Linked DNA regions of Drosophila melanogaster. The protein of the gene in region 2 interacts with the protein of the main gene of each other region in a pairwise test. Each region holds a gene or a part of one and is shown on either strand. Other genes may lie near its edges. The genes, in order: tfc and CG3198.

What was found.
Region 1: the proteins of CG3198 (region 2) and tfc interact in a two-hybrid assay, tested with the Drosophila melanogaster proteins (one large-scale study listed by BioGRID).

The regions. Positions count from the first base shown.
Region 1 is NT_037436.4:1,254,435-1,259,726, reverse strand, and holds the start of tfc (triforce), read right to left. Parts: upstream 3,279-5,292; 5' UTR 2,566-3,278; coding exon 2,367-2,565; intron 1-2,366. Other genes in the region: CG9133 (uncharacterized protein), read right to left, coding at 3,988-4,239, 4,683-5,292.
Region 2 is NC_004354.4:6,667,744-6,675,549, forward strand, and holds CG3198 (uncharacterized protein), read right to left. Parts: upstream 6,231-7,806; 5' UTR 5,996-6,230; coding exon 5,894-5,995; intron 5,821-5,893; coding exon 4,877-5,820; intron 4,593-4,876; coding exon 4,519-4,592; intron 4,437-4,518; coding exon 4,240-4,436; 3' UTR 796-4,239; downstream 1-795. Other genes in the region: Mcm6 (minichromosome maintenance 6), read left to right, coding at 6,763-7,806.

The DNA.
Region 1 (5,292 bases), on a different chromosome or scaffold from region 2:
ATGGCCCGAATGCTTCTGAAGTTGTGAAGGGAAGTGGGGAGTTCTGATACACAATCGCCGATCAGAAATTCACTTAGATAACTAATAGCTACCATTTACAATTCTATAAAATGGACGTATCTGTAGGATTGTATCTGCTTGATCCCAAATCTTTTCTCCCTGTGCAATTGTCGATCGACGGACATTCAATAACTTCACGACTTGGTGACCCAGTTGTGTCTCCGTGCCGATGTGTATCTATATCGGGCAACAACTATATAGCAGATACTTGGACCGGCTAATTGTCGTTCGCACAGGCCACATAAATCATGACAACTCGCTGAGGATGTTGGCTTGCCTTGGGTGAAAAACGAGGCGAAACCTATCAAAGCGGTAAATCATTTCCACCAGCATCTGAATCTGCGGCCAAGAACCGTAAAATGTATCTGACTCGCGCTGCTGCAACGAGCGGCTGCAGTTGCAACTGCAACTATTTGAGGGCCGTGCAATTGCCGCTTGGCTGAAAAGAGGTCAATTAACTGCGAGGAGTTGCCCTGAGACAAAGGATTTCGCAATTCCGCTCGCTAAACGATTGTTTTTTCTGCTTCTCTGTTTGCGGACCAGCTTCCACATTCCATAAAGATACTTTTTCAAAGGCTTGCGCCATCGGCTTGTATCTCTAATTTCGGGCAATTACATGAGCAGCCAATGCGGCGTATACGTTACGCAGCGCTCAGGTTTCAAGTTGTGGTCAAACCCCTTTGATTGACGCACTCAAGGTGCCTAAGAATCGGTCTTTCATACGCACACACACTTTGATATATTAGATCATAATTTAGTTAAGTTGGCAGCCGTGGTTCAATGTCAAGCTGCAAAGCCCGAAAGATTAATTTATTCAATGCTGACATGTGTAATTTTATCCACAGCCATTTGGGAATACTCTAACAGAGCCCAAGTAACCATTTATTGCTGGCCAACAAGTTGTTGTTATTAAAATGAAACAAAAATTTAGTTTAAATATATAGATAAAATATATAAATTGTATTTAATATTTGCATAAACTACTGCATGAATAAGAGTATTCAAAAACTTAATTCACACAGCAATCAGATTTTTTATCGTGACAAATTGCCCTCTTAAGTGGTAGGTAGGCCTATACCATCACGAGATCATTCTTACATTTTTATAAAAGCATTTGCATATTTAGTAATCATTTGTTTATTTTTGGACAACTTCGGCTAATTTCTGAACATCACGACGAGCGAATTGAATTTCCAATGCAAATTAAAATTCTTTACTGGCTTAATATGCCCAGTAATTATTCGAAAGGTTTTTGAACTCGTGTTTTCATACTTCTTTGGACCCATTAATCTTTTGGCCACTTTTTTTGGGGGAAAGGTTGTGGGCACGTGTTCGTTTTCTTGACGCTTCTTTTCTGGCCAAAATGTCACCGAACTTTGGTCACAAATCAATATAATAATGTTTTTGCATAATAACACTATAGTGTTTGACGTCTTTTTTGATTACGTCTGTATTTTCTTCTTTTTAGCATTTTATTAAATATTCTGAGGTCGCCGGCATTCCGATTAAAAAACAAAGTCAAGCAGCGCAGCAAAAAAGTGGAGAAAAATATTATTTAAACTGGATTTCTTGTGAACATTTATGCATCTAGAAGATGGGCATTGAACGCACCTCCACAAAAACTATATATATACATATATATTTAAAATTAGTAGATAGATTAAGCCGGTGCAAAAGTTGGACTCCGGAGTGAATCTATTTGATTGGGATTCGCTGCTCAGCAGTCATATGCTTATGAATTCTAAAATATTTAAATGCCAAATGGTGCAGGGGAAACACAATTAGCATTTTAATAACAGCCAGTACGTTTTTGGCCGAAATCTGCTTTTTTTTTGTTGTACTACATATGTGAAAATCGCACGATGAGCTAGCGAATTTTAAGTATTATGCAGAAAAAGTAGCGATAAATGTGTGGAGATATTTTATGCAAATCCGATTCTCTTTCATTATGAATTCTATTATGATCTGTACTATTAATAACAAATAACTCGATTTGAAAGATTTTCAAAATAAACCTTGGCGAATGCATTTTTGCATAGAACTTCATATGTTACTTATGTTTTTAATCGCGTGATTGACGGGGCATTCCTTAAGCGCAGAACCCTTGAAATGCCCACCAACATCGACCACATTAGGAAAAGGCTCGATTCAAAGCAGTGCGGCCAAGAGCAATCGTTAGTATTTGCGAACCAATCGAGAGGGCCCCTCGAAGATGTCCATCACAGAGACCGAGAGGCTCCGACCCTGACACGGATGGCCACAATGGGGGCACTTGGAAAAGTGGCTCAAAGGGGCCAAGTACTTACCTCTCTTATCACGGCCATTTCCGCCTCCACTCCGGCTAATGTTGCTGCTGCTGCTGATGTGATTGTTTTGGCCGAGTTGGAAGCCGTGGGGCACCTGGCTGATGGGCTCGGCCACCGGGATGGTGGTCACGGGTGAGTTGTGGCCGGAATCGACACTGGCCAGTGAGATGAGCACTACGATAAGTGTGGGGCGGATCATGATCACCGATTTGCACTCTTCACGCGAATCTTAGACACCAGTAAAAGTTGCAACTGCACTTGGCGGAGACCTCTCGGATGCACGTAACCGAAAACCGGGGAAAGCCAGTCGGCTGTGGTATGCTATAACCTGCGATCTCGAGCTGGAACTGAAAGCCAACTGACCGTCGGAGGTTGGACTTTCGGGTGTCTCTAGATCGGGGGCCTATTTGGTATGCAGCTTCGCTTTCTAAATTATCAAAGTTTTGGGGAAATGTTGTGGTATCTCTCGGATTTAGTTTTTAATATTCAAATACTATGCTTTTCTCCGCCCAACTGTCAACGCTGGATGGGGCGGGTTGAGTCTCTAAACGAGGGCCATTAATTTGCGCCCTCGAATTCGGACTGGGAGCCCGGTGTTCGTCCGATGCCTGGTCGTGGAGGCGAACGCGGATTAAGTAATCGCCCAAATCTACTCCACTCAATTCACTTTCTTTCCGCTTTCGCGGCGAGAGGCAGAAATTGAATTGGATCGAGCGAACTGGAGCGGATGGTCTCTCCTCACTGGTTTTGTGGTCTGTCGTGGACCGATCTCAGAAGTTGCTCACATTCGGGGCCGATCCGCTGAATGGTTAACATCTAGGCTGGGGCACTGCTTCACGATTTCTCGACTCTTTCCTGCGTTCGCACTCGCCGTGTTAACTTACAGACTAAAGCGTTTGAACGCGACTAAAACGAGTTCCTCGCTCGACTCCTCTCCGAGCCACCGATCGGATCGGTCAGCTGGCCCGATCTGCGATCTCTGGTCTCTCGGATCTCTCCCTCTCCGTATAGTATAGTCACTGCAAAGTGACCAAACCGCTAAGCTGCCGCTGCATCCAACGGCGGCTTTTCCTCCTCCTCGATGCTCCCTCCCGCGAAGATTTCTGGCTTTTAATTACAGGTGTGCAATAGATGAAGATGGTCGGATCGGATCGGATCGGCATCAGAGTTCTGCATCGCGAATTGGTTTTGTCGGCTATTTTTAGACCCGCCTCAATTGCAGATGAAACACCTCCGCGGCCTTGACTGGGCAGTTAAGTGCCCTTAATGAAGATGGGCATATACACTTGCAAGCAGATTACTGCGGGTTAGGGTATCTACATCAGATCAATCAGTGAGGGATCAGATCAACTAATCATAAATGGGACTAGAATTATTGTTTTTTTTTTTCTTAATTTTAATTCAATCAAAAGCATACATTTACGTAACTAGTCGAAAAAGTGAGTGTTCGTGCATCTTACTGGACGGGTTAATATGAATGGGTTAGTACCAGAGCCAAATTTCAATAATTGCTGCTGTGAATTTTCAAAGAGTCGCTTCCAAAATGCCAAAGGATGTGTTCCGAAAGGGTAAGCGTCAAGTCCGGTCGATGGGAATGGGATCCGCCTACGGATCTCTTGGTCTACTTCTTCTTCTTGCCCTTGCCCTTCTTGCCCTTGCCCTTCTTGCCCTTCTTCCCCTTCTTGCCACCGGTTAGCATCTCCTCGGAAACATAGGTCTCCGTGGTCACCTTGCTGATCGGAAGGGTTACGGGCTGCTTGGGCGTCCGCAGCTCGATCTCGATGGTATTCTTCTTGTGCTGCGACTTGGCCTTACTTCCCAGTTTTACTAGGAACACGTCGCTGTCGGTCTCCTCGCAGGTCTTGTAGCAAACCTGAAAAATAAGAAAAGCGACAAATCTTTTTAGATACTATGCAACAGCTAACCAAAATAGTCTCAATGCAACGCGTTGCATCTTTCGCAGAAATTACCATAAATAAAAAAGCTGTAGCGGATTGCCACCGCAAACTGAAAAGAGTGCTCCACACTTGGAGCTGGCAGATGTTACGCAACTGCCCCACAATTGAGGCAATCGAAAGCCTTCCCGAAGTGGCAGAAGTGGCATAGTTGCACCACCTGCAACAACGTTTAGGGGGGCAAAGTCACGGACTACCAATCGATCCACATTCCGCATCCGCACACGTAACTGGCGAACTTAAAAAATGGAATGCGGAGGCGATCGGCGATTGTGGTTAATGATTTAAGATCGAACATTCTTGAAATATGGATTTCCTTAGGCCACTCAGTGCTGCGCAAATGAATATAGGATGGACTCACCTCGATACCCTTGCGCCTTGTGTCCAAATTGACACCCTTCATGGTGTCCATGATGTCCTTCCGCTCGACCTGCATGCAACATGATCGCTGGTTCTGGACGGGACAGTGCGCGGGCACGATGGGATCGGATCCGCCGCAGAGTCGCTGGCGGTAGCAGTCGACCTTGGCCTCCTGGAAGTCGCAGGCCTCCTTGATCTTCGAGAAGGGCACGTAGTAGTTGTCGGTCTCGCAGGCATCGTTCCCAGAGTACTTGATATTGGCTCGCACCTTGGGGATGTTCGGGTGGTTGATGATGCGGCCGCCGGTCCGGCGCTTGATGTGGTTGCGAGCGAAGGAGCTGCGCTGGAGCATATCGTGCAGGCAGGACTCCTTTGCGGGCTCGCAGTCATTGGGGTCATCGCGATAGCAGGGATCATCGCCTGCGCCCAGATTGGGCGCAGTCTCGCTGCCATCCATCACGCTCTCCACCTTGTGGGTGTTCTTGAGTACGCGTATGGTCAGACCGCTGCCATTGAGGCAGGCCTCGAACTCGTCGTACGCCTCCGGACCCGGATCCGGCTTGGTCGGCTGGATGAAGCAGGGAGCCAACTCCGGACTGCAGTCGCAATCG
Region 2 (7,806 bases):
GTGTATGCTTCAACAGTGCGTTTCATGAGTGTAATTGGTGTATGCAAAGGTTAGCATCGATTTATGCTCTGCATTTACGTGTTGTTCAGGTTCAACTGATATTACCTTAGGCTCGAAAACAGTTACTGTATTATTCAATTAATTTTAACTGCTAATTGTAAATTGTTGTCTGTTTGTTTTTTTTTGCAAGTTGACTCCGTAAAAACAGTCGTACGATTTTTGCTCAATCCGAAAATGGCTGTTGTGAAATTGCTTTCCTAAACGAATGGCCGGCCATCCCAAGTGCATATATATTTACATACTATGTACTGCCTTAATGTCCCGAAACGCACTGTAAGCAGCATATGTTCACCTGATCCATTGAAGTGCGTAAATAGATGTTGTAGATATTAAACTTAATGCAAATACATACAGTAAAGCGACAAGAAATTTATAAATACTATTAATATTAAATATATATTAAATCTACATATACATACATTAATGAATAAACAAACACAATATTGTTACAACTGAAACGAAAACGTCTTTGAAATGGAAAGTTATGGAAAACGAAGAGTTTTTTCTTTTTATTTTAGCACGCAAAGATTAACAACAGAAAATTTTGTTTTTCATTTTTCGAATCGTTTTTGATCGATTACCTATTTTATTTTCATTGTCACGATCGTCCATGCTGAAAATCTGAAAAGTCTAGTAACAAACGCGCATGATTTTACATTACCGCTGGCTGGTGCGCTTCGTCACTACATTTATCATGATTGCAAAGAAAACAACGGATTGCTGGTTTTTTTTTTTCGGGATTTAGTTTGATCTTTATTAGAAAATTATTGCGAGTCTCTCAATAGAATGTGTTTATCCTTACTCATATCGTAATTCGTAATTAAAAACATCTTTACATGACTAAAGACGATCGATCAAGTTTTATTGATTGGGTTACACTATTATACTTAAATCTGCCTTCGTAAATGTTCCTTAACTCTGTTTGCCCGATGCTAACTCAATTCAATTGATTAATTTGCTACGTAATTGTGGGTAAACAATAAAAATGTGGAGTGTTGGGTTAGTGGATGGGATCTGGGATGCTGGCAGGGAAGAGGTGTGTTCCTCGCAGGAAAAGGGATAGAAAAAAGGAGCTTATCCTGCGCGGACACAAAACAAAAGCGACCATACATTCATATACATATATATATATAATGTATATATGTGTACGGTTCAAATTGCTCCATAGTATTTTTCGTTAACTGACAACCCGGCGTTTTCAATGCAATATTAATTTTGATCCAAGGATGGGTGGAAGTAATGGGTATAGTTATAGATATATGTATATAATATAGTTATAAGTAGTTGAGAGAAATGGAAATTCACCTCGTTTTGTATTATGCCTAATACAGTTATACACGAGTGTCTCTCTCTCTCTCTCTCTCACTGTCTCTTTCAGCGTTCTCTAGCACTCTGTCTCTCTCTCTCTCTCTGTCTTTCTCTGATCACTGAAAAGTGATCGTTCGTTGATTTCCTGATTGCGTTTTATGGATCGAGGAGTGCGGTTCACGGATCTCGGATCTCGGATATCGCCTTCTCTGTCGTGAAGAAACATTTATGTGTGGAGGTGTGGCATAGAAGTTACCTGGTTGGTTCTTCTTCTTTATCTATAGACATATGCATATCTTCCATATATATCTTCCTCTTTCTCTATACATATATATACACATATATATATGTATATATATATATATATATATATATCCCTCGCATTTATTTCAACACTTTCGGGCTCCTTTCCTCGGTTGGCGGCTTCTGGAATACGTTTGCAGAGAGGAAAGTGTAAGTTAAGTGAGCCAGACAAAAGTTCGGGGCAGTTAAAGGTGGATAGCGCATCTTAGACTAATTTCGAGCTGAACGTGTATATAGATTGATTACGTATACGTATTCAGAGTTCATCTGAGTGTGGGGTTTATATATATCTTAGATTGTGTGGCACGAACAGTACAAAACATACAGCTACGGGATATTCGATTGGTTTTGGACGGAGATTTAGCCAACGGCTTATCTCGTCACATCACAAAAATTCGATTTAATCGAGATCGATATCAAATATCAGTATCATAATTTTTATGGGGTCGGGTTCAGTCGCAATTTACCTGTTGGTGAAGAGGAGGGGGGAACATGAACATACATACATGTGTATGGGTTTGGGGACTCGAACTCTCTCTCTCTCGCCCTCTCTGTCTTTGCACTGTTTGCTGTCTCCCTCTGATCACTGCCTATGCTTGTGCTTCTTCATTTTGCATTGTATATTGTATTTGATTGATTAGAATTTAATTCGATTTAGCAATTCAATTACCTCGTGATTTTTCGTGGGTGTCTTGGAATCTTGACTTGAAGAGTTCGCTGGGGTTAGTTTTGTTTTTGTTTTTTTTTTTCAAGCTTAAAAAATAGAGTATAGTGCAGGGGAAGGATGGGAGGGGGCGGAAAACCACAACAATGAGTTAGGGATTACAAAAAAAAATAAATAAATAACTGCAATATGTAGAGTTTTCACGACAAGCCGATGATCCTTTTCCAAGTTTAGCTTTCCAAGGCTCAAAGACTAAGTTTCTTATACATTCATTATCATTATCATATCATAAATAGAGCAAGCGAAAGTACTTAGATATTTGTAAAATTCAGAAGAATCCTTGAATCCTTGGAATGGGCTAATCGCTTGGTTAAGTTATCATCGATTTATCAAATGTACCTGGGAATCTGTCTCACATCAGAAGCTCCTCTCTCTCTCTCTCTCTCTCTCTCGCTCTTTCTCTCACACTCAGTCCGTCTCTTTCTGACGTTCTTCGGCTCACAAGGCACTAAGACTACATACCTCCACGGGAATACTCGAAACCCATCCCAGTGAACCCAGTGGCCAAGTCAAAATCACATGCAGTACGATTGTCACTCAAAGTCATTATATAGATACACTACCATATAATATGTACATACATTTATCGTTTGTGGTTTGTATTTTATGGTTCATAATGTGTCTGTGTTCTTATGTCTTGCGAATGGGTTGATTAGTTGGATGTGCGGAGGGGAATGCGGGTATGGCAGGGAATGCGAATCTGTATCTGTTGGGTTAGTTAAGCGCATAGAGATAAGAGTAAGGCTTGGTAAATACCTGTTTCAGTCAATGTCCCACTCACAATTGCAAGGGAAACGTCCAGTGAACGCTCCGTATCGCCCTAATCCCCAGCCTATCTTTTGGTCATTATGCTTATATATATATATATAAATATATAGAAGTCAAACTCACGCAGCACTTGGCGAAATCTTGTTTTTATATTTCATAGTTAACTAATTTTAAGACTAAACCATAAACTTCACTATTCATTCTGCAACTCCCTCAATATTTGTTTAACCAAATAACCATTGAGTATATTAATTGGGCAAAAAGAAAACTGTCGAAGGTACAAACTTTAAAAATAATCCTGCACAAAATTGAATACTACAACGTTAGGTTAAAAGTGCCTGTGGTGCTTGACTAAAAAAACTAAAAGAGTTAAACATATTTTTTGATCGAAAGGACGTAGGTCCGTCTGTCCGTTTCGAAGAACTGGTGGACCTTGGTGAAATCCTCGCCCGGATCTCAACCCAACTGGGTACACACACACATATTGAGGGGACACGCGCGCGCGTGTGTGTGTGTGTGTGTGTGTGTACACAGATATATAGATCGTATATACGAGAGTAGAGTAATGATACGAAAACGAGTATGTCTACAGAATGTGAAGGGGCACAATGGCGCCCGAGTGTTATATATTCTTTTTTTTTACGGGCTTATTAAGTGTTGGACTCACCTCAGCGCAATTGATACTGCCAGCTCAGATACTGTTTTATCTAACTGTTTTCTGATACATATTATTATTATAATTTTTTTTTTTTTTTGGAAATTGTGTTAATGATTTTTTTTTTTCTATTGGGATACCTCGATGCTGCCGCCCGTGGCCACGGCAGCTGGTGCTTACGGATTGCGAATTGCTGATTTGCGAACCACATAAGACGAAGACTGAAGATCGCAGATGGTCGAGAGATTGGGTTCGTTTTGAACTTGATCATATTTAGTTGTTGTACACTTGCGGTATGGGGCTTTGGAAACTGGAAGTGCTCCGGACTTTCGGATTATTTACTTGTGTTCTTGGTTTGCTATTCACTTGGTTTCTATTGTGTTTATCTTTTCTTTTTCTTTTTCTTTTTTTTTTTTGGTCTCTAGTAGCGACTGCGACTCCGGCTGCGGCAATGTCGCTCGCGGCTGTCATGGCGGTAGTGATTATGGTTGTGATTATGATGGCTCCGGTTGCTCCGACTGCTTCCACCACCTCCTCCGCCGCCAACTCCTACACCGCCGCCACCACCGCCACTGCGCGAATACGAGTGATGGGAGCTGTGGTGCGATTTATGGTGATCTGGAATGGAAATACAGTAGTTCAGTAAACGTTCGAGTGCCGTGTGCAAGTGCAAAACGAATTTGGGGGGGTGAGAACTTACGGTGACGTCGATCCGAGGGCTGGCGATTCTGAACATAGTCGCGACTTCGCTCGCGGTACTCACTGCGTGGCTCGCTAAAGGATTAAACGAATGGAAGATGCTCACATTAGATATAAGATCATCATAGTTCGTTAACTAAAACATTGTCTATAGGATACCATGACATCGCATAGTTTTCTCGTTTCGTGCAGTAACCAAGTAATGAAATAAACTCGAAAGTAATTGAACAGCATTACTCATCGTCACATTGAGGGCATTCTGCCAATTATTTTTTTTTTGAGAACGAACTTATTTTTGTTTTGTGATCTTTTGCCAGGTGCGCATATAGGATAGGATACAGGGTTCGTCGAGACCTTACCGTCTGCTATCGTAGGAGTGGAAGCGCTGCACTCGACCCTCACGTCGACGTCGTTCCTCCTGCTCGCGCTCCTTCTGTCGCGCCTCGTTGATCTCGGCGACGGCGTTGCGCAGTTTGGAGTAGCCCAGATGCTGTTTACCCATCAAATGGTCCTCGATCCGCTGCTGTGCATCGCCGACTATCAGGAAAGCGCCACAGATTTCGCACACCTTCATTTGTTTCTCGGGCATGGCATCATGCGACCAGCCAGCCGCCTTGCTATCCGTCTTCTCTGACGTTTTGTCCTCGCTGGCTGCACCAGCTGCTTCACCGGCATCGTCAGTCGTTGTGACAGCTGCTTGTGCGGAACTTGGAGCTGCATCCGGCGCTTCATCTAGCGTGGTGGCGGCTGGAAGAGGAGTAGTTGGACTTTCTTCGCTGGGATTTGTGACCGGACTGCTGCGCGGGTGATGCTGCAGCTCGTCCTCCGCTGACTTGGTCAGGCTGATGCTGCTGATGGCCTTGTGATGGGCCTCGTATTGCTGTACCAACTGTTCCTTCTCCTCCTTGAGCTCCTCGCACACGGTCATTAGATCTTGGGCCTGGTCCACGTCACCCCGAATGCCGGCTTCCTCTGCCTCAGAGAGCAGCTTATTGATCCGGGCCGTCAGATTCGCAAGCTGCTCCTGGTGCCTGCTCAGTGGCGCCGGTACATTGGGCTGATCCCTTTGCATTAGCAGCAAACGCTGTTTTCCCTTCTGGATCTTTCGATCCACATCGTGCAGCATAACATTGCAAAAGCGCAGGAATTCATCCTCGTACTGACGCTTCCGCTGCGAGGGTCGAGCATCCTCGTAGAGATGTCGGGCTTCCTCGTCGTGGATGCGGGCACAGGGGCCCAGATCTGCGCGCGTATTTATGAATAGATCGTGCGGACAGAACTTAACGTTGTAGAACTGACAGAACTGCGGACAAAAAAAAAAACCCCCATTATTTTGGAGGTGGCTCTTTGGCGCGCCACATCCTGAGCGTACTCACCTCCGGATCCTCCCAATTGACCTTGGCGCCCGCCTCCGAGGGATGCAGGTTGCGATTCCTGCCCATCAGCTCGTCGAGCATCTGCCTGGCGGCGTCCACCATTTTCCGGGGCTCCTTCGCAATTTGTGGGGACAAAACTCCGAAGGGGGCGGTGGTCCCAGTGAATCAAATGAATCCAATGGTACCACACCGACTTCTATGGCCACAACGGTGCCGGCGAACAGGTGAACACACGTGCAACGCTGTGCTCCTGCTGTTTAGCCAAAAAATTAGCCAAAATAGAATCAATAAAATTATTTCACGAAATTCGCGTGGTATCGATTATTTCGGAATAAGCCTATCGGTGCACAGCGTTCCGCGACATGAGTGGGCGAACTATCGGTCTTAAAAACGTACTAAATTCTATAAGTTCATAAAATAAACAACTTAAGTTGAATGTTTTAATACTTTACTCGTATAAAATTATTCTTATAATTCATGTCATTCATCTCTTGGATTATTAAGTTATCCGATTAAGTTATTAAAACAACGTATCTCAATCAACTTTTGGACTATTTGATCTATTCAAAAAATTCGAAAACTACTTGTTGATTAGCAAGGGCAAGAAATTTAAGTAAGCTTTCAGCAATTAAAAAAATATATATTTTTATATATATTTGAACTAATAAATTAATGTGACCGTAAGACATGTTTACCTTTGCTCTTGAATAGCTGGCATCCCTGCGCACGAGCGTTGCCACCCCCAAGCAACTGTCAGAAAAAGGCGCCAAAACCGAGCAAAGCACGCAGCTGTAAACATTCGCAAGAAACGAAAGCAATCTCGGAATTTAGCGCGCAATTCACCAGTTTGAAGCAAGAAGTGACCCAAAATGGATGTGGCAGATGCTCAGGTTGGCCAGCTGCGCGTAAAAGACGAGGTGGGCATTCGGGCCCAGAAGTTGTTTCAGGATTTCCTCGAGGAATTCAAGGAGGATGGCGAGATCAAGTACACGCGCCCAGCCGCCAGCTTGGAATCCCCGGATCGCTGCACCCTGGAGGTCAGCTTCGAGGATGTGGAGAAATACGATCAGAATCTGGCCACCGCCATTATCGAGGAGTACTACCACATCTATCCGTTCCTTTGCCAATCCGTTTCGAACTACGTTAAGGACCGGATTGGACTGAAGACCCAGAAGGATTGCTATGTGGCCTTCACGGAGGTGCCGACGCGTCACAAGGTTCGCGATCTGACCACCTCCAAAATCGGCACCCTCATCCGCATCTCCGGCCAGGTGGTGCGCACCCATCCCGTACATCCGGAGCTTGTTTCCGGCGTCTTCATGTGCCTCGATTGCCAGACGGAAATTCGGAACGTAGAGCAGCAGTTCAAGTTCACCAATCCCACCATTTGCCGCAATCCCGTGTGCTCCAATCGCAAGCGTTTCATGCTGGATGTGGAGAAGAGTCTGTTCTTGGACTTTCAAAAGATTCGCATCCAGGAGACGCAAGCCGAGCTGCCGCGTGGCTGTATTCCCCGCGCGGTGGAGATTATCCTGCGCTCGGAGCTGGTGGAGACCGTTCAGGCTGGCGATCGCTATGATTTCACGGGCACTCTGATTGTGGTGCCCGATGTGAGTGTCCTGGCCGGAGTGGGCACACGGGCGGAGAACAGTTCACGCCACAAGCCCGGCGAGGGCATGGATGGCGTCACTGGCCTAAAGGCACTGGGCATGCGAGAGCTCAACTATCGGATGGCCTTCCTTGCCTGCAGTGTTCAGGCAACGACAGCACGTTTTGGCGGCACCGATCTGCCCATGTCGGAGGTGACAGCCGAGGATATGAAGAAGCAGATGACAGATGCCGAGTGGCACAAGATCTATGAGATGTCCAAGGATCGCAATCTCTACCAGAATCTAATTAGCAGCCTCTTTCCC